4 linked regions of the Nothobranchius furzeri genome follow. The protein of the gene in region 4 purifies or fractionates together with the protein of the main gene of each other region. This does not show direct contact. Links are inferred from orthologs where the notes say so. Each region holds a gene or a part of one and is shown on either strand. Other genes may lie near its edges. The genes, in order: pals1b, dlg1b, rho guanine nucleotide exchange factor 26 and lin7c.

Region 1 (5,146 bases), on a different chromosome or scaffold from region 4:
GCGGTACAGTCGGGATTTCCGTCTTTTTTCTGATTGGTCATTTTTGAGCTGCCTAGTCCCGCCCCTCAAGTGCCTCTCTGCCTGTGTTACCAGACTCCTCTGTGCAGAATTAAACAGAGGACGAGTCTGGCAGGCCAGGCTAGTACTTTAGTGCATCTTAGTTCAAATTTAAATATTCTGTCTAAAACTGTCAGTGTTGCGTCCTCGTCAGGTAAAAACTCTGCACTGCATTATCTTTAAATCTGCCATCGTTATTGGCTAAGAGGTACACTATGACGTTAGCTGGTACATTATGACGTCACAATGTTGTTGTGAGCCTGTGTGTGTATTTGTTGGTGGCTCCGCCCTCTTGGTCTGCCAGGCAACAACATTTGTTGCATTTTTCAAACATGAAGTGGGAGTGGAGTAAAACTCTGGTAGGGCGCGACTTGCTCTTTAAAAAACCTCACAAGTCTATTCCTCCCTGAGGGCTGCGTTGCTCCTTCTCTTCTTCCGTTTAACCTCCTTGAGCCTTTGCCAGCACCCACTTCCTCCACTGAACTCACCAACAACAGGACCCAGACAGGCCGCATCTTCGGAAGCCTTTTCCTTCCTCTCAAAGGTGGGATTGTCAGTGCCAACTTTTTGGTTCTGCGACAGCTTTTTGAGCCTCAGAGAGGCGTTTGGATCAATGTCATGTTTCCCCTTGTTGTCCTCCTCTCTCCTCCTCCTCAGCTCCTCTTGGTAATATTGGATCCTCTCCATGTGGGCACTGCAGTGAGGGGATTTGACAAGGCTGCTTTCCTGCCCCGGACAGTCCACAGCCCTCTCTCTGTGGCTCATGGCCTGACCAGAGGCCTCTTGCACATAACCGTTCATATGGGATGTTATCATCCCTGTTGCTGCGGCGTACAGTTCAAACCACCCCAGGGTTTCCTGAGGTCTGCCAGAGCGTCACGAGAAGCTGCTGCTGGAAACTATCAGCTCAAGGGTCAAGGCACGCCATTGGAGGATGGAGTCCTCTGTGCCGGTTCAGTCATCGCTCCTCCTGATACAAAAACACAAATAAAAATAATTTGTTTTAGAAATGTTTTAACTTAAAATCATTCAATGTATTTTTTTTTTTAGTTTTTAAAACTTGAACTTCAGCAAAAATCTCAGACTGTATCAACAACTATTGAAAAAAGGTTAAGGGATTTGTTTGGGCGTGCTATCCTTCTGCTCACTCAGCAGACTTTGTTCATAGTCTCACACAACATCAATGTCAAACTCACAAACTACCTGGGGCTTCGCTAAAACACATAATCTGGCTGCGTGTCGATCAGGACAAACTTTTACTCCTTTCCACTCTCGTCCGTCTCTCCACTAATCTAATTTCTAACATGGAGAGCTTTCAGGATTCGGTCACCTTAAATCCCTTCTACACAGCCTCATCCAGGCTCACCTGTCCACCAGAACACCTCAGCCAAAATATAGCTTGTTGCTTGTGTTGATACTCAAATAAAGCACAAATCTGTTCAGCATATCTTGGAAGCGGAGTTCACCTTCATAATTTTAAATAATTTGATTCTACTTAATGTTTTGTTTACTGTATTTGCTAATTGATATGGATTTCTGAATAATTTTACATTTTGTACCTTGTGAAACAAAAATAAACTGACTCGACTTGAGTATATTAGGTGAATTAAAAAAATTAAAACTGAAAATGGCACATAGATATGCATTACCACCTGGGTAATGTTGTGAATGTTGTAGATTAAGATCTATTCTGTTGATGTTATAATCTGGATTTGATGGTATGACGTGCCTCAAAGTGGAAATTTTCTAATAGAAAATCCTGTTCGAAAACAGTAAAAGGATTAAAAGCCGAGTTGTTTTTGCACATTATTAAAGTAAAATTTTTGATATTTGTGTCATTAATGATTGTATCGCTCTTATTTAAAAAATTTTTGCCCTTCTTTGCAAATCAAATTGCCACAGATTGAAAATGAGAATCAAACACATGCACATTGTCCTTGAAAGCCACGTTTGACATTCCTGTGTCAAAGTCAGTCGTGTCCCCTACAATTAACTGGCAGCAACTCTCCACAGCTAATCACGGCTGGCAGGTCCACTCCTCCTAAACCCTCCCCTCCAGAACCATTTAGTTGTGTTTAGTGTAGCAGGGTACTGCTGAGGAGCAGCAGAGACTGCCAGCAGACCATCTGTTCCCGTGGGCTTAATTAAGCTTGAGATCTCATGCTCTGCTGCTGCTAACTGGTTGAAGCAGTTCTGAGAAGGATGCAGGGTAGAGAGTGGCGCCTGGGTACAGAAGTGAGGATGAGAGGAAGTGCACAAACCAAACAAGGTGATACAAAGAAACTGGCTCCGCTTTGTGGCCTCAAATTCAGCCCTCTGCATTTTATATATTATATATGACCAAACAAATCAGTAAAGCACATTTTCTTACATAAATTGAGATACTTGTCTTACTCTCACCATCCTCTCGTGTTTGACAATGTGCATAAAGTCATATTGTGTCAAAAACATATTTTTAAACAGTAGAGCAGATTATTACGTACACAGATATTTGTTTAGTGAAATAAAACATAAAATATGACTATAAACACTAGAAAAATAGTTTTTTTCCCGACTTGGACATTGCTCAACCCGTGTGGTGACACAAATACATTATTTTTTTAAGTTTTCCCCACGTTTGAACGTTCAAGTTATATTTAAATTATCAAGCAACGCTAATCACATGTTTAATAAACTTGAATGCTTCCTTTATTAGAAATAGTGCCCAAACAGCTAGAGGCTAGTTGGGGTAAACTATTTTAAGTCGATTCAAGGAAACACTAAAGACAGCAGTGACATAAAAACGTGTTCGAATAGTTTTGCAAAGTAAGTTAAACTTTCATACAAACCAACTCTGTAGAATAACAAAAGTTTTTCACTTAAAAACAAAGTTTCTGGTTTTATCGTCGGTGTTTAACACCAACCGAAGCGCCCAATTTAGCTCAGAGACTAGCGGCACATCGCTGCTAAGCTAACAGCATAGCCGTCCCGTTACAGAGAGCCTCTACTCACCACTTCAAAACCAGCGATGAGTCCGAGTTTCGGGAGCAGGAAGCGGCTCTTTTAAAATAAAATCTCCGGAGAACATCCGAGCAGCTCGTGAATGAGAAACTTGCCGTCTTCTCCCTAGGAACGCGTTCAGCGGTTGTTGAGTTTTGTCCAAGCGCAGTCGGGACACTTCTGAACTGCGCCACCGGTTGTTTTCAATCGTTTCCTTGGCAACACTGCAGCTCTACAGCGCCATCTTTCCGACAGACACGTAACGACAATGTCGTAAATAACAATACTATGTAAAACATTGAATAAGGCGGATTAAAATAGACACTCAGAGTTTATGAATTTAGACTTTTACCAAAAAAATCAATTTTAAATATATACCTGTAGAACAATTAATTATAATGATTAATTTCGTTATTTTATTTACTGTAAACTCCATTGTAATTATTCAACGGTGCCATAAGGTCACAATTAACTAAAAAAAAAAGCATTAAGAACATCCGGCAAGCATAATCAGATAAATTAAATTATAAGTACCCAAATCAGCACTACACCAAATCATAATTCCAACAGTGATGAGACTTACATGTTTGCATTTTTTAACATTCTAGCTAAGGTATATTTTTCTTGATGAAGCATATTTCAACACATGAAATCAAAATAGTTTAGAATAGCTTTTGTAATAGAACTGCAAATATCACTCCATTTGCAGATAAAAGCCACTAAAAAGAAAATTAGCGTAATATTTATTCAAAAGTGTGTCTGCCACACTTAGGCCATTGCATTAAAAAAACATTCTTAGGCAACATCACACAACTTGACAAGTTTGAAAAGGGTTTGAGAAAGGACTGGAGTGTCTACTGGATTCATCTTAGTTCACATCTTCCCACCTTTGCTCTGTGCATTTATACTTTTCCCGCAGGCACAGAAGGAGCTTCCAGTCCAGCTGAGACGTCATCTCTCCATGAAGAAATCCTGGAGCTATCACAAAGTGCCTCATTGCATCAACAGTGACCCCAACTCAATGATAAATTATACATGATATCCTCTAAACTATATTTATGGCACTGTTCTATGAATGGTACACAGTTTTATTGCAAGTCTTTACTGTTTCACACATTAAAATGACAGCGCAAGCCCTGTAGAGCAGAAAAATGTCTAATTTGACTTAATAAAGAGATTATATGAGGGACCTTGCAGATCACATGATGATCACCAGGAGAAGCCAGAGAGGTCTGAAATTTAGGGACAGGTTCACCAGAATTATGCATTTGTTGTGTCTATAGGTCATTTTTTGCAGATTCTAAAGTCTTTTTAGAATTATGTTCAAAACCCTAAATGTCCAAGCCCAATATTTAATCTGACATCACATGAAATCTAAACTTTCAGAGCAAAAGGTTGACCTCAGAGGTTACAAGTCAGAGCATTTAATTATCACAAACAAGTCTGGATAAGGGAAATTTAAGCTTTTTGCATTTACGTTTAACTTCACTAATTTCTTTCAGAGAAATATATTTTAAATGTATTATTTTCTTGAGTAAAACTTGATATGTTTAGTTTTTGTGTTTTGATTAACTTGCAAATTGTTATAACCTAAAAACTAATCAAGTGTAACTTGATGAAGGAGCTATTCCTCCAAGGTTATTTAACCTTTTCCACAGTTCCCTTTGACACAGCGCCAGAGTGCATGAAACAGCCTCAAGATCTCAGTTCTCAAGATCCCATGAAGTTCACCGCATGTTAAGTGAAGTATGGACAGGCCATTCTGCACTTCTCTTTTTAAGCTGAAACCCATCAAGCTGGGAAAAATCTGTTGTTTTGTGAACCAAGCAACGGTACCTTTCAGAATAAAAGCTGAACTCGCTGACCCAAGGAGGGTCCCCTTTTGACGCTGTGAAACACCTGTCACTTTTTACCTGGAGACTATCCAAAGACTGGTTTGTCGTACTGTCGACGCTGTTTCATCGGCTCCAGTACCAGAGGAGGGTCGTGGACCTGGCATCTCTCTTCTCTTATTTCTCAGTTAATACAAAGTGTTATCAAAATCCCTGCAATAAAAAGATCCAATCTTCTGATTTAAATTACCCAGTGTCCATAAGATGGAATTCATACT
Region 2 (4,678 bases), on a different chromosome or scaffold from region 4:
ACAGCTAAACTACATTATCGTCTGTCCTCAGAGTCGCCCCGCCCTGCCCGTAGCAGAGCCAAACCAGACCCAAAGACTACCATCAACATAACCCGACGGACTTTCAGCCCAAAACCGGCTCGCCAGAGACAACGTTTAGTGTTTCTTTACCACCATGGACGAATGCTAACGCTTTGGAGGTGCGTCCTCATCTCCTCTCTCTCTGCAGTGCCACGGTAAAACCCACGGGAAGGAAACGCAGTAGAATCAGGTCCAGAACCCGAGACCTGAACTGCTCTACCTCATGTGGGCCAGGTCAGAACTGCTTTCACTGCTGCTGCATAATGAATGCAGATGTGAAAGGTGCTGCTGCCTGCTATCCGTATCCAGTTCTATCAGAACCAGAACAACGAAGTAAGGTAGGCTCTGGTTACAATGATATTATTTATGAGTTACGGGACAACACAAACGTTGTGTCAAAGCAGCACCTTTCTATGGAAATGTAGATGTTACTCATCATCTGAACGCTAGCATTCTTGTGGGTCCAGTCATAAACGGCCACCAAGAACTCCACCTGAGCTGTAGACACAGTACACACCTTGGAAATTCAAAACGTCTGCCTCCCCGTTCAAAGCCTTGCATCACTGACGGAGTAGACCCATCTCCAACAGGAACGGTCCCTCCACATCCAGAAGCTCAATAAAATTTCTCCAGTAGAACAGTTGGTCCACACAATAAACCTCCAGGTGTGTCTCTAAAAACCTTTGTCCAGTAGGTGAAGGGTTACCCGTGTGTGTGTGTGTGTGTGAGAGAGCCTGACCTGAGCCGGCCGTCCTGGGCAGCTGCCCCCCCAGGTATGACCTTGGTAATGAAGATGCTGGGGTCTTCGCCGATGTGGGGGTTGTCTGTGCCGCCAGCGATGCTGAAGCCCAGCCCCGAGTTCCCCTGGTTACCATGACAACCACACATCAGAGAGAAACACAGAGGAACTGAAATGACTAAACTTTCATTTATTTTTAACGGTTGGTCTTTTCTAGGTCCTGATCTGGATTCCTCTGGAAGCAGGTTTGGATTAAGAGCATCAGACTAAAATTAATCTGGATTAATCCCCCAATCCCCAGTGAGTCATGGTGGATGGCTGCTTATACTGAGCCAGGATCCTCTGGAGGTTTCTTCCTGTTAAAAGGGAGTTTTCCTCTCCACTGTCGCTGCATGCTTGCTTAGTATGAGGATTGCTGTAAAGACTCTGACACTAGACAGTGACTCGATGCAACCTGCTGGGTTCCTTATATAGAAACTTTTTACTGATTGGCTTAGTGACCTGAGCTCTACTGGAATGCTGACTTTGAGACGACTCTGGTTTGGTGATATACATTAAGTGGGCTGAAGTAAGCTCAGCTGCAGGTCACCAACAGAAACTGGTTTCACTCTGTGAAGGTAAACTAAGTTAAACTGGTTCCCCTCTGACAGGAGAGCGAGACCTGGACCAGACCCGTGTGACCCATCACCTGTGGTCTCAGCTGGGTCACACGGGTCCGGGCAACACGGACGAGAAGATCTAAGGCTTGGAGGACTCTGGTCCTGATGAAGGGAGATGTTTGCCATCCTCTAGATCAGTGTCTCCCTTCAGGACCCCCAACTCCACCTCCTCAGTAGGGTTGGGCATCGTCTGAATTTGAATAATTCCGATTCTTCGTTTTGATTCCAGTCCCTATCGATTCAGATTCTTTCAAGACATGACATGCGTTACATGAGCCAGCTAACCACAGGTCCTACTTGATGAAATAATCTTAACTTCAACATGAATTGTAATTCTATGAAAAATAACATCATCTTCATTTAGACAAAAACATGTTTTGGAGAAAAAAAGAAAGAGACTTGCAGCACAACCAGTGTGTTTGTTTCTGACCACAACCAAAGTCTGGAAGAAGCCTCTGGGATGAGAGGCTAAATGTCTCCAACATATCCAGAAACTTCCAGCTGTTTTCAGCTAAAACTCTCAGGATGATCATGTCCAGGATGACAGAGTCTACACCTACCTGCTGCAGCAGCTTCAGTCAGAAGGGAACCTGAAACTTAAATGAAGCTGGAACAGGAACAACCTAGCAGATCAGATCGGGGGGGTGGGGGTGGGGGGGTGGGGGGGGGGTGGGGGGGGGGCTTGCTGCTGCACACGGCTCTCTGCAGGTAGCAGACCAGCAGCGACAGACAGCAGGTGTGACCAGCTCTGAAATGTGTTTATCAGAATGTGCGGATCATGTTTATTTTTCACGGAGACCGGCCGCAGATTCCTCTTCCGGGCAGCACACTAGAAGTCGGAACTAGGAATCGAAACTAGGAATCGGAATAAAAAAACTTGACACAAACTGACAGTTGGTCTCGGTACCAATCTATGCCCAACCCTACTCCTCACCTCCTCCCAGATTAAAGCCATTCATCACACTTAGCTAAACTGGGATTCGGCATGTCCATGACTGTAAAATCAATAAAAAATAAACAAAAATAAAAATAAACTTTATAAAGAAACAAAATGATCAATATAAAAACACACAGTGAGTTTGTAGTTAGCAGGCGATGCTACCGCTAGCAGTTCCAGCTCTAAGTGGTCCTCACAGGAGTTCCTGCACTCCAACAGGAACAATGATCCACAGATTCATAAAAATCTCTGGGTCAATGGTCTGCCCTAAACTTAGCTTTATTTTAATTTTAGAGACAGTGGTGTTCCAGTGAGCTTTCCCACCATGGCTGCATCATTTATCAGAACTCTGCTGAAGACACTGAGATGCAGGTTTTGGTCCAAATCACCCAGCACCAGCAGCCGTGGGTTTAGGTTACAGATACAGTCATCTCTGGCCTCCTTACCCGCTCCAGCGTGATCTCCTCGTACTCATAATCAGCCTCAGTCCCGTTCACCTGCAACACAGACACAGACGGGTCACAGCTGGACTCCTTCAGAAGATGGTGTCCTACTGGAGACCTGAGGGGACAATCAACTCACGTATGGGGGCGTGTCCAGGCTGTCTGCGTTGACCACCACAGGAGGGGGGTTGGCCTAAGGACACAACAAACATCAGGCATCACAGAGGAAACACCAACCTACATCCTGACAGAAACCCATCAACATCCACCCAGGAAGCCCGGGCTCCACCCTGCTAGTCTGACACCTCCTCCAGCGGCCGTACGTACATCATCGCTCTTCACGCTGCAGAAGATGCAGTTCTGAAGCATGAAGCCTGAGATTAAACGGCTCAGACACTGCAGGACAGGACGAGACCGTGGGCTCCTTCAACTCCTCCTCCAGCTCAGCGCGGGTCTGCTCGCTTGCTTTCTGAGCAGGGGGAGCCAGATGGGCTCGGATGGGGGAAGTGTGACATTTCTGCCTCAGTTTTATCTCTAATCTGCTCATCAGAGCCACAGCTGGACAGCAGGAAGTCAACAGAGAGACAAGCAGCCAAACCAGGCAGAGATAAACCTCTGGGTGGAGGGAGGGGTGGGTGGAGGGGTGGATGATGGAAGGATGGAGGATGGAGGGAGAGAGAGAGAGAGAGAGAGAGAGAGAGAGAGAGAGAGAGAGAGAGAGAGAGAGAGAGAGAGAGAGAGAGAGAGAGAGAGTGCAGTAAAATAAAATAAACGAGACCTGTGATGCTGGAGGTATGGCGGTGGTCTCGGCTGGGATTGGAGAGATGGGGATCACAGGGATTATGGGAGAGGAGGGCGGGGCCACCTCAGCCTGCTGAACAATAGCATGTTGAGGGTCAAAGGTCAGACAAACAGAGAGCAGGTCAGATGAGCAGCAGGAGGATGATGGACGAGTGTGTGAAGGTGTTCCAGGCAGGAAGGAGTGGTCTGGTTTTGGGTGGGTGGAGCCTAACCAGACAAGGCAGTGGAGTGTCAGAATTATCAACCAATCACAGGAGGAGGACGAGTGATTGACAGATTTTCTGACACGTCAGCCTCCAGATGGTCCTGATGTGCAGCTCTGTGGATTAACACCACCCCGAGTGTGTGTGTGTGTGTGTGTGTGTGTGTGTGTGTGTGTGTGTGTGTGTGTGTGTGTGTGTGTGTGTGTGTGTGTGTGTGATCTGCTGCAGGACCAGGGCCAGCTCTACACAAAACCCCAACAAAACTGTTCCTGGATCAGAAGTATCCCAATAAAGGATGAAGATCTGAGAAGTCACATCTCCACCCAACAGAACTGAGGGTTCTGCTGCTAGACGAACAACCAGCAGGTCTGATGAAGATGAGCGAGGACACTTTCATCACATCTTCTGTTATGCAACACCAGACCTCCATGAGGTTCTGCAGCATCGGAGCCGCTGGAGCAGAACCTCATGGAAAACAAACACATGCTAAAATTAGCCGGGAAAATTGAACGCATTGATCCGACAGGCCCAGTTCTGAGGCGCTGCTCGGAAAGCTGCTGGCAGAGAGGCCCAATTAGAGGCGCTCCGGTAGCAGCGACCCAGAAGACCTCTGGTTTCGATGAAGATAATTATAATAGAAATAAACAATAAATAAAATACAATCTGAGCTGCTGAACACACACGCACACACACACACACACACACACACACACACACACACACACACACACACACACACACCATGAATTATCTTCAGGGGTCAGAGGTTGCAAAACAAACTGCGGTTCTACAGAGCCCAACACAGATCCATTCATGGTCCCAACTTTAGAGAGCCA
Region 3 (5,346 bases), on a different chromosome or scaffold from region 4:
TCTCCACCACAGCCCTGAGATAGTGAGCGTGAAGTGTGGAGAGAAAGGGGCACAGAAGATATCAGGAGAAGGCAGGAATCTGTAGCGTGTGGGTGGCACCCCACAGTGCAGAAAACCCCCAATTCCTGCTTTTAAAGGTATGGCGAGAATTCACTTTTAGTTGAGGTTAGGGTTAGGAATAAAACGGCATTGCTTAGGGTTAGGGTGTGTGTGCGTGTGCGTGTGCGTGTGCGTGTGTGTGTGTGTGTGTGTGTGTGTGTGTGTGTGTGTGTGTGTGTGTGTGTGTGTGTGTGTGTGTTGTGTCTAACCACGCTGAGCTGGCTCCAAGAAGTACGTATTGGTCTATACTGCACGACAATGCCGTTATCAGGTTTGGGTTCCCTGGAATAGGCGTCCTCATCGGAATCATTATGCAAAGCCTTCTCTTGGTAGTTCTGGTAAAGCTCTTCCTCTGAAAAAAGGGGAAAAAAAAACTAAAGATGAAGAAGCGCACTGATCACAAAGAAGAGTAAGATGACTGCGTCTCACCTTCACTGTCAAACGTCCGCTGAGCTATCAAGAGTTTCTTCTTATTTAGAGTCTACAAGAAAAGTGTCACAACTTTAAACTCCATGGGACCAAAACACCAGCTGTTCTTGACCTCCTTTCCTGACACATATTTAATGACAGAGTCAGTGTGTTTTTAAGTGTGTTTGTTTAGACGTAGCGTCTCGTTGCGTCTGGTCTTCCAACAAACAAGTTAATTGTTTCCCTGTGAGGCCTTGTCCTCACGTCTGCCGCTGCTAAGTTTGTTCCACAATGGTCAGCTTGTGCAGTGGTTTTATAATTCGGACTTTAGCCCTTCTGATACTGAAAATCTGTCAAAGCAATCTTTGTGCAACACAGAGAAGCCATCAGAGTTATTAACTGAGACAAAGACAAAACATAACTTGTTTCAAGCTAAGGAAAATACAAAGGTATACAGGTTATGCTAGGATTATCAGAATGAAGTTTAGACATAAGAACTTTTCAAACAGCGAAATGTTGTATTAAACTTTCTTTACAACAAATTAAGAGGGAAAATGTAATTTGATGAAGATTAAAACAATAAAAATCTCAATAAGACCTTTCAAAGTTGGTCCAACTAATGCAGGCGTCTCAAGACAATTATGTTCAAGCATTCCTTTGGATAACAGATGTACCTACCAGTTTCTTGCTTTTGCTTTTAGATTTTTCCACCTGAGGGCTCGGAGGCTTTGGAGTCTTGGGGCTGGCAGTTTTAGGTGTGCTGGGGCTCGTAGGGATGGCTGCTCCAGGACTCGAAGGGCTCAAGGTGACAGGATGTGATGGGCTATCAGGAGAACTTGGGATAGCCAAAGTAAGCCCGCTAATGGCAGGTTGTGACAACCGATGAGTCATTTGATCTACGGAGGGTATTTCCGTTTCTTCTGCCTTCACAACTGCCCTCCTGTAAGAGGTACTCCTCAAACCTTTCCTTGAAAGGGGGCTTTCACTCCCTCTGTCTGCCTCTTCAGAGTGGCCCCCTCCAGTAGAAAAGTAGCCTCCCGTTTCCACCATGCTGAGTGTTTTTTGCCCTCGCTTGGGAAGGTCTAACCCCAGCCTGGTCATACCCTGGCTCTGTGTTCCAGAAGGATGCGCCTTACTCAGCCGAGTTTCAGACACCAAGCCTTTGGGGATGAGCTGCTGGGTGCCCATTTTCCAAGCGGCGGCGCTGTTGGTGCTCAGGATGATCGACGGACAAGGCGAGACAGCTGGGGATAGTGATGGTAAGGGCGATGTGGAGGAGATGGAAGAGGACGATGAGACATTCAGGGCGTCTTGTGAGGAGGAAGATGTCCGAGACTGCCTGACCAGGGAAAATCCTCGGTCTGCTGGTGAGGGGGAGCGAGGAGTGGAAGGGTCAGAGGAGGTCAAAGACAAGAGTGAGGGGATGCTGGACGTGGAGCTGTTGGAGGGTGTGAGGGTACCGTGTGATGACGGTGAGGAGCTCGATGAAGAGGATCGTGAAAATGTTTCATAGTTGTTGTTGTTGACATTTGTAGAACAGCTGAAAGGATCAGCTTCGGATGAAAATGAATTCTGTTTTCTCTGTAAGCTGAGACTCTTGGGACTGGAGGTGATTTCAGACAATACAGCTTGTCCATTACTGGTATTCCCTCTGCCACTGTCTCCATTACACACTTTGTTGTCCAGTGAAGCAGATTTGTTATTGTCAGATCTAAATTTGGCCAGAGAGAATCGCCCACTGGACAGATGGCCTATGCTTATGCTCCGAACCACTCTGGTTTTCCTTGAGGGCTTCTGTAAAACGTGCTTCATCACCGCGGTGTTGTTGTGAGCAGACTGAGCTGATCCCGCCTGTCTCTCAGCTGGCTGGCTGTCCTCCACAGGGACATCAGCAGTCATGACCCCGTTTATGCGATAACTAACGGGCCGCTGCTTAGACCTGCTCATGTCCAGGGAGCTTTTACGGTGGTCTGTACGCAGTTTCCACAAAGGCGTGATGTTATTATTGGACAGATCGACATCGCTGCCAATATCCATAGTTGTTGCGAGTCCTCGTTGCCGTTTGTGGCTGAACTTCCAGGCTGGAGCAAACTACAGAGCCCTTTTGGGGAGCAGATATCCTCCGCTTGAGATGCACAAGAGGAAAAACACCACTCAGCATTCAAGAGCTCAGGACAGTGTACAAATTCCAAACGTTTACTCATTAACAGGGACTTGGAGCAGACACAACTACAGACAAGACACATGTGGTCAGAAAACAGAAGGCAAACCAGTCAAGACAGATCTTTTTGTATTTACTCATCATAGTGAAATGACCTAATTACAAACTGGTGAGATGACGAGCAGTTACTGTAGAAGTCCAAACAGGAAACAACAAGGCACCAGATTTTAGTGTTGTTTTTAATCTATTTATGAGGCAAGGTGCTGTTTCTGATTACCAGGAGAAACTAAAAGCAGGTTAAAAGTTAAACTTACCTCCTAACCTATCACTCTGGACGTGCTCTTTACGCCTGAGCTGTCCGAAAAGCGCATTTTTAGCGAAATGATGACCAAAAAACAGAGAAGTTTAAGGAGTTACTGACAGAGAGGATTCATGCCTGCCACCCTGACCGCGTCTGTGGGAGCGCTGAGGAGTTTGAATGCAGGGGGGAGGTGGAGGAGGAGGAACAGCAGTACTCAAGTTCAGGAATTCACTCAGATAGTTTCTACTTCAGCATATTGGAGAGGGTTTCCGGGAAGACAATGAAGCTTTTTGTAGCAGTTGGCCAGGCTTGTTGATGAAAATCAAGCAAATGTGATGAAAAACAGGGTGTAGGCTACAATAAAAGTGTAATTAGAAACTGTTATTTTACAAGTAAGTCCTCGATAGTCAATTTTCCAAAAGGTTTTCCCACTTTTCCAACACGCCTGTTTTAAAAGCTATTTTACCTGCTTTTCTTTGGCGCCACCGTGTGGTAGATTGTGATACTGCCAAATATCTGAACACAACAAGAAATGGAACTATATAAAAACAATTAAACTCAAACGTGTGTATCAAATCTACTTTATTACCCACATATGCATCACTGTGGACGAACATTATAAAGTATAATCATTTCTGATGACCTCGTCCTGATTTATAGATTTCATAACCATTCCATTAAAATGCATTGGGCAATGTGTGAGTCGTGTTTTCATGCATTTTTGATTGCACAACTCCGTGTGTGACAGAATGTCCCCATTAAATGAACACACATGCATTCCTCCAGGCTTAAAAACAAATTACTCATTCCAAGTAAATGCCAGCTTTTATAGCGCTTAATTGCTCCCTACTGTCAAAGTGCTTTTTGTGCTGTCGTTTTTTGACCACTAGGGGTCATGATTGCCCTGTTTGCCAATGATAGCTCATATCATTGATTGAGAAACATCTGTCAGACTAAGTGCAATCTGAAGTTTTGCTTCCAGAGTGTTGCCTTTTTTTATTAAACTAACTAAAAATGACAACAGCAAAAAACATTTCGTTTAAATTCTATTTGTGAATCATTGTGTTATTTCATTTAAATATGCTTTATCAGTCCATCTGCCTCACAGGACGTTTACATGGAGTAAAAACCCCTTCGTGGACACCCCCTTTCATGTTCCAACTTCTACATTTTTCAAAAGTTTTCGTAATGAACCTGAACAACCTGCAGCTCATTGTCTTAGTAATTAAGCTCCTCATAATGAAACTCTTTCTGCTTCTGTCAAATTAAAATTGAATTTAATTTGTCTGTATATTTTCAGTAGAAAATAGTGAAAATGTTAAATGTGCCCAGAAAAAGGCTTAGAGTCAAAATGAAATGTGATTATGGATTTTTTTTTTTTGAGAAATGCAAACAGACGTAATTACCTACTAGCTTCTGGAATAAAACAAAATACATTTGCAAATAAACAAAAGTGCATTTTCTAAAAATAATTAATTTTAAGTTGTGGTTTACTCATTCTTTCAATACATTTGCACTCTTCTCTAGTGTAGAGAAAAGCTTTGATAAGCCTGCTCTGAGGTGCAGAAGTTAGCTGGTGGGATATGCACACACCTCCCTTCTTACTGGCTAGCAGAAGACATTCAGCCATGTTGCAAAGTCACTCAACAAAACACTCTCTCCTCGCCCCATAATTAAAACAAAAAACAAAAGCCTTCCTGTGGGTGGGCGCAAGCCAAGATAGGCAAGGTCATATATGCAAATTCACAGTGTGACATAGATATGTGAGGATTTTCAACTCCTAGCATTTCACTGCTTATTGTCTATCAGAATGGAAATAGGTGTAGAAGACTTTATTAATGTTCAGCCTGCAGGAAAAACCTATTATAATCATAAAAAATAATTTTAAATGTTTTTCAGTCAACCACACCTTAAATTTATGTTTCTTCTAAACTGTTTGGAACCTGAATATGATTTTGGTAAATACTTTATATCATGCATTTGAATGCTGATTCAGGCACTAGAATTTTATTAGCTTTTTTGATGTCATAGTGGCAGTGTGTAGTTTTCTGGCAATAGGGGTAAAACATAGATACATCTCAGGGCAGTTTTACACCATATCGCTGTGACTGTCGCTAGTTTAAAAAACAGTACAGTGTGGGGCAGAAAGCATGTGACCTGAGCGTGCCTCCTCAGACTTTGGTGATCCTTCAGTTAATTCTATCAAGAGAATGAAATGCTGATTGTAGTTTTCTGGCGCTGCTCGGGGGTCCTGTGCCTGCCGATGATGACATCATACTACAGCAATACTACTTGGCCAAAATTTATTGCATCTTTTTTTCGATTCTGTTCTTTCACCTGTGTTTTGGAAAGAGTTTAGCAGTTTTGTTATTAAATT
Region 4 (5,323 bases):
TGAGAAGATAAAAAGTTTGGAAAATGCCCCCAAACCACCGCCTGCTTCCCACCGGCACAACGACCTGAGCTCTGACACTTTTTTTTTATTTACATGCCAAAGTTTGGAGATTTACCTGATGATAATAACCCGCTGGAGTGATGTTTCACAATTACAAGAACTCGACATCAGAAGGAGCGTGCCTACATGTTCAAGTGCAGGCTAGTTGGGTACACATCAGGCGTGCCCGAGTTTGACAGTGATGGATCCAACCACCCATACATCTGTGTACATTTATGCACTCAACGTTTTGTTGTGACAGTAGGGTAATCCTGTCTTTGAGTCCGAAGAACAATCATCACCGATTTCATGGAGCTTTACACGATCAGAAGGAAAAGGTAGTCTTTGCTTCTGGGAGGCTTCTGCAGCTTTACATCAATGTTCCCTCCAGCGGCGCATTAGAGGGTGAGAAAACTTCCCTTGCCGGGTGTCGACGCCGTCGTTCAAGGTTGAACTAGGTCAGCAAAAACCAAATCCTCAGTATGGAAGATTTCTAAATAAACACATAAAATGCACCGAATGTTTCATCAAGATTTCCGGAGAAACACTTCATTTTACTTCCTCCTCTCCAACCTGAAGGTAAGTGCGACTAACGAGGACGCTGCAACTTTCTGAGATCTGCCGAACGAAGAAAAATAAACTCTGCCTTGATGGACCCACCAGTGACAGCAGTTGGAATTCTGTGAGGTATCTTTGTTTTGCTTTGTTTGAAGCACAATTTAAACTACTTAGACTCAAAGAGAGACGACAAGCATGCAGTAGATCCTTAAATGTGCTGCTGTCGTAAACATCAAACAACGGGCTTCTTTTCAAGGCCACAATGCAGCTGCAGGAAAAAAAACTGCCCTGCTCTTCAAAGAAATTCCACCTTAAGTTGGAGTTGAAGCCGTTTTGCCCTAGTCAAGTACTAACGTATCCTCTGCATAAAAAAATACAATGAATCAAACAGGGAAGCTTGCTCCATAAAGTATGTGCTCCAGTTTCTCTGAACAGAGACCTTGGGCCATTTTCGTTGCACTCTGCAAGCAAGAAGACGTCTAATTATAGATTTAATGTGAGCATCAAAAGAGCTTAGAGACAATACATGAATACTGTGGCATTTATTTGACCCAGGTTTGTCCCTGATGAATGAAAACAAGCAAATCAGAGCATCTGTTGTCCAATAAAGGAAATTACTGATGCAGCACAGTGTTGGAGATCCAGTCGTACGTCACAGCAGGGTTCCGTTTTTCACCACCAGCTTTTCAAGGTAAATTGTTTGTGTTTCATCACCAGCTGGGGTGGGGTCAGAAATGAATCATCCTGCAAAGTTTCAGCCCACAGAGAGCAGCTGTTTTCTGCTGATTTATGAACCAGAGCCTCTAGAAGAGCTGCAGCAAACCAGAGGAGGGCACTAAAGAGGCTGCTCCTCCCATCAGCTTTCCTGGATACCATCCAGAACATTCATTCAAGCTTCCTAACAAGGTTCCTGGTGTCCAGACACTGACAGGGTGCAATCTGATGAAGACTGGAAAAACTGAGTTTGATGAGCTGAAATTATTATTTGCTATTAAGAAAGTGAAAAATATCAATAAAAATGTTGCTTTGGTTACTCATCATCATCTCATTCATATTTCTATAAAGCTAAATCAAACCTAGAAACCTAATCTTGAACTAAAAGTATTCAGAATGACACTAAACTTCTAAAATGAAGTTTTCTGTTCCAGATTTAGTTACAGAAGTAACTGCTACAAAATTTGTGATTTTGTTGCTGCGTCTGATCTCTTAAAATTTCACATCAATACAAATAAACAAGATAAGAAATACGCAGAATTCAATCTGTCATTTATAATTACCTAAAAATGTCAACAGAATGCTTTGTCCACCGAGTAATCAGCTTTACTAGGGTCCCTGAACGCACCATGACACTGGCAGCTAGCCTAGCCGAGCTAACTTAGCTAATCTGATTTATCGTGCCAGTTAAGCGTACGAAACGGTCGGCTGGATTTACGAATTTAGTTTTTTTTTTTTTTTTTTTGTATATTTCTTGTATCGCAGTATCTATTTAATACCAGATAGCCTCTCATTTCGAGAATGGCATCTCTGGGGGAACCTGTGCGACTGGAAAGAGGTAATGTTAATTAGCTAGCTAGCTTTATTTGTTGTGAACGAGAGACGTTTACCCAGTTTAGCTCTAGTTGTTTGAATCAAACTGGGAGTTGTTTTTTGGTACATATTTTGACATTTGCTTGTCATAAATGTATATATCTGATATTGCCCGTAGAGCTGCGTTTTACTTGACCAAGCTAAACGAAGCATACCTTAGCGGTATTTGTTTAATTCGCTCACTAGCTAAGTAGCTAATAACAGCAGCGATTGACCAGCCCAGTCAGTATGTTGGGAAATAAATGCGAGGTATAATATTGTCATTAAAGCAGTAAAGGCACGTTTTGCTTCTCAGAAATTACACGTCGAACATGACGCAAATTGCATTTGTTAAAGTGAAATAAGCTGTAATTGTCACATCTGTGTAAAAACAAGTGAAAGTATCAGTCCGACTTTCATTGTGAGCCAGCTCTGGTCACAAACATCAAAGAAAAACTAAGAAATCTTTAATCGGAGCTTGTTTACTGAGTGCTTTTTGAAATCGATTTTAAATATATTTCTGAATTGAACTGGGAGCTCATGAAGAGATATTTGTAATGCAAACTTTATTTCTGCCAGTATCCTGCTACATATCTTAATTTTTTGATATTTTGAAAAATTGCAGGTTGTTTTTAATCACTTAGAAACCGTTGAAAGTAGGTGATGTGTATTTTAGCCTTAAATGTACTCGTCTCTAGTGGCTTTAAAAGTGTTCAAATGATCAAATCTGTTGTGGGAACTCGTTTCTCTTCCATTTATGCCGATTATCACTTGTTAGTCGCTTTGGACAAAAGCGTCTGCTAAATACATAAACAAACATTTAGTTAATAAATGTCAGGAATCTGATCATTTAACATCGGTCTGTGCCGCTCAATCGAGATGACTTTAAATGTGCATTATGTAGAAATTAAGTAAAAATGACATCCTTTGGTAAAATTTGGTTACGTCAACCACATTAAAAAACTCTGGAGCTTTTTGCCGGCCGTCGTCAAATTACAGTTGTCTGCGCTGCAGTGTTAGCTCGCAGGAGACACGACAACCCAACTCACTGATGGTAAACAATAACTATGTCCCTCCTTCCTTTGTTTTGAAAAAAGAAAAAAACTGATAATCCCTGCAGCCAGCTGGAAATGAAATATGTTTCAGTAGAACTTTCCTCGCAAAATGACCAAAACATGACTCATTTGGGATTTTCTCGCTGTAAAATTCTCACTATATTTCCACATACTGCACCTTTAATAATACATAATGAGTGTGATTGATAAACAAGTTTTGGCCTTCCTGTGCAGTAGGGGGTGCTGTTTATATTTTACAGTCATTTATTTCACATGTAATTTTTTACTGGTTGATATAAAAACCCTCTGAACTATTTAAAATTTTCTTAAAAATTTTTACCCAGCAGATGTTCTCTTTTTTTATTTTTCAACACCATTCAGGATTTTGAATCTGCTTCATTTCACTTATGCAGATCACTTCTTTCAGAACAAACCCAATGGAAGTCTTAGAATATTTAAAGACATGTCCAGTAAAAGACAAGAATATAAATCAAATAGTCCTTTTACGTAGATTTATCGAGCACCTTTTCTGCTTTTACTTTTAAGACTTGAGTGCTGGCATCAATACAGGCAAATTTAATGCTCATTTTAATCTTTTATAGTGGTTTGTTTTGGACTGTGTGTAAGCTGTGATGGCATTATGCTCTCTTTGATAGATATCAATCGTGCAATTGAGCTGCTTGATAAGCTGCAGAGAACAGGGGAAGTGCCTCCGCAGAAGCTGCAGGCGCTGCAGCGAGTCCTACAGAGTGAATTCTGTAACGCTGTCAGAGAGGTGAGACTCTTCATTCCAACTCTAAACTCCACAGATTTTTCTTCCTCCTTGTTATAAAGTTCTGTTCGTTTGGTGCTTTTTCCCCCTCAGGTTTATGAGCATGTGTATGAAACGGTAGACATCAACAGCAGTCCTGAGGTCAGAGCCAACGCCACAGCTAAAGTAAAGCTCATACACAAGAAATCTCCTCCGTCTCAAAACTACTTTATGCATCAATTGTTGTACATTTTTAAAGAGTTTGTTTTATTTTCAAAGGCTACTGTGGCAGCTTTTGCAGCAAGTGAAGGACACTCCCATCCTCGTGTTGTGGAACTGCCCAAGACAGAAGAAGGTCTGGGTTTCAATATAATGGGCGGAAAGGAGCAAAACTCGCCTATTTACATCTCGCGGATCATCCCAGGAGGCATCGCTGACCGACATGGAGGCCTGAAAAGAGGCGACCAGCTTCTCTCTGTTAATGGGGTGGTACGTGCAGCTCAGAGAATCATTATTAGGTCAAGAATTGTAAATTTGAATCTTAATATGAAGCACGTATCAGGTTTTAGAGCATGTTGCTTTTTTGGGGAGGGATAATCCATGCATCTTCAGAAATTTCTGCATACAGAAAAGCCCAAACGACTGACTTTTAGTGTTAGAAGTTTTTTTAATATTCTGGTTTTTAAAGGGCTACGTGTTCATAATCCTGTGATCACTCATAAGCAGGTATAAAGTCTGAGTCCGATTACATCTCCATTAGTTAGCTTGATGAGGAGGACGAGGAAGCCCCATCAGAATAAAAGTCGTTTGGTCATAACTGATGATCTTCATACGTTGGTGGGGTGCAACGGATCATCATTGATCCGTACGTATCTCTCTCTGCGGTTCGGCCACACGCGGTTCACGGATTGGTCACATGAAGGCCGGAGGCGCTAGCTGTGCTGTCCAAAGGAGAAACGCACAGCGATGGTCATGAAGGAGGAGGAGAGAGAAGCTTGAAAAACCACCTGCATCATTTAGGTCATATTTATAGGAGCATTTTGGCTCCCCTCTAAAAAAAACAATGATTCAAACGGCAAAAATAAACACACACGCGCTTCTCCCGTCTGTTGTCGCAGTGCCGCACACACACACACACCTCCGATCGCTGTGAAAGGAAGGAGACTGTGGCGCATGAAACATGCCTTGGACATAACAAACGTGGCAGGACCTGCAAATATTGTTGGAGACAAATCTGTTAAAGAGGATGAAAGAAAAATAAACAGCGCGTAATGCACAGTGATGCGGACGCTGAGCCGATCTGTCGTGGTGAAGAGGGAGCTGAGCCAGAAAGCCAGGCTCTCCATTTACCGGT

Evidence for each region.
Region 1: the proteins of lin7c (region 4) and pals1b purify together in Homo sapiens (affinity purification with mass spectrometry; 3 studies listed by BioGRID and IntAct, counting the BioPlex papers as one, with this or other methods). This does not show direct contact. The link is inferred for Nothobranchius furzeri from reciprocal best matches to the Homo sapiens genes LIN7C and PALS1.
Region 2: the proteins of lin7c (region 4) and dlg1b purify together in Homo sapiens (affinity purification with mass spectrometry; 4 studies listed by BioGRID and IntAct, counting the BioPlex papers as one, with this or other methods). This does not show direct contact. The link is inferred for Nothobranchius furzeri from reciprocal best matches to the Homo sapiens genes LIN7C and DLG1.
Region 3: the proteins of lin7c (region 4) and rho guanine nucleotide exchange factor 26 purify together in Homo sapiens (affinity purification with mass spectrometry; 3 studies listed by BioGRID and IntAct, counting the BioPlex papers as one, with this or other methods). This does not show direct contact. The link is inferred for Nothobranchius furzeri from reciprocal best matches to the Homo sapiens genes LIN7C and ARHGEF26.

The regions. Positions count from the first base shown.
Region 1 is NC_091742.1:8,457,938-8,463,083, forward strand, and holds the start of pals1b (MAGUK p55 subfamily member 5b), read right to left. Parts: upstream 3,240-5,146; 5' UTR 3,049-3,239; intron 1,028-3,048; 5' UTR 874-1,027; coding exon 546-873; intron 1-545. UniProt on the Homo sapiens protein: Plays a role in tight junction biogenesis and in the establishment of cell polarity in epithelial cells.
Region 2 is NC_091751.1:34,839,730-34,844,407, forward strand, and holds part of dlg1b (disks large homolog 1), read right to left. Parts: intron 3,713-4,678; coding exon 3,617-3,712; intron 3,032-3,616; coding exon 2,978-3,031; intron 2,893-2,977; coding exon 2,842-2,892; intron 925-2,841; coding exon 800-924; intron 1-799. UniProt on the Homo sapiens protein: Essential multidomain scaffolding protein required for normal development. Recruits channels, receptors and signaling molecules to discrete plasma membrane domains in polarized cells.
Region 3 is NC_091753.1:51,607,497-51,612,842, forward strand, and holds the start of rho guanine nucleotide exchange factor 26, read right to left. Parts: upstream 3,121-5,346; 5' UTR 2,983-3,120; intron 2,633-2,982; 5' UTR 2,545-2,632; coding exon 1,186-2,544; intron 581-1,185; coding exon 529-580; intron 452-528; coding exon 309-451; intron 1-308. UniProt on the Homo sapiens protein: Activates RhoG GTPase by promoting the exchange of GDP by GTP. Required for the formation of membrane ruffles during macropinocytosis. Required for the formation of cup-like structures during trans-endothelial migration of leukocytes.
Region 4 is NC_091749.1:64,461,571-64,466,893, forward strand, and holds the start of lin7c (protein lin-7 homolog C), read left to right. Parts: upstream 1-1,952; 5' UTR 1,953-2,112; coding exon 2,113-2,149; intron 2,150-3,874; coding exon 3,875-3,993; intron 3,994-4,083; coding exon 4,084-4,155; intron 4,156-4,248; coding exon 4,249-4,458; intron 4,459-5,323. UniProt on the Homo sapiens protein: Plays a role in establishing and maintaining the asymmetric distribution of channels and receptors at the plasma membrane of polarized cells.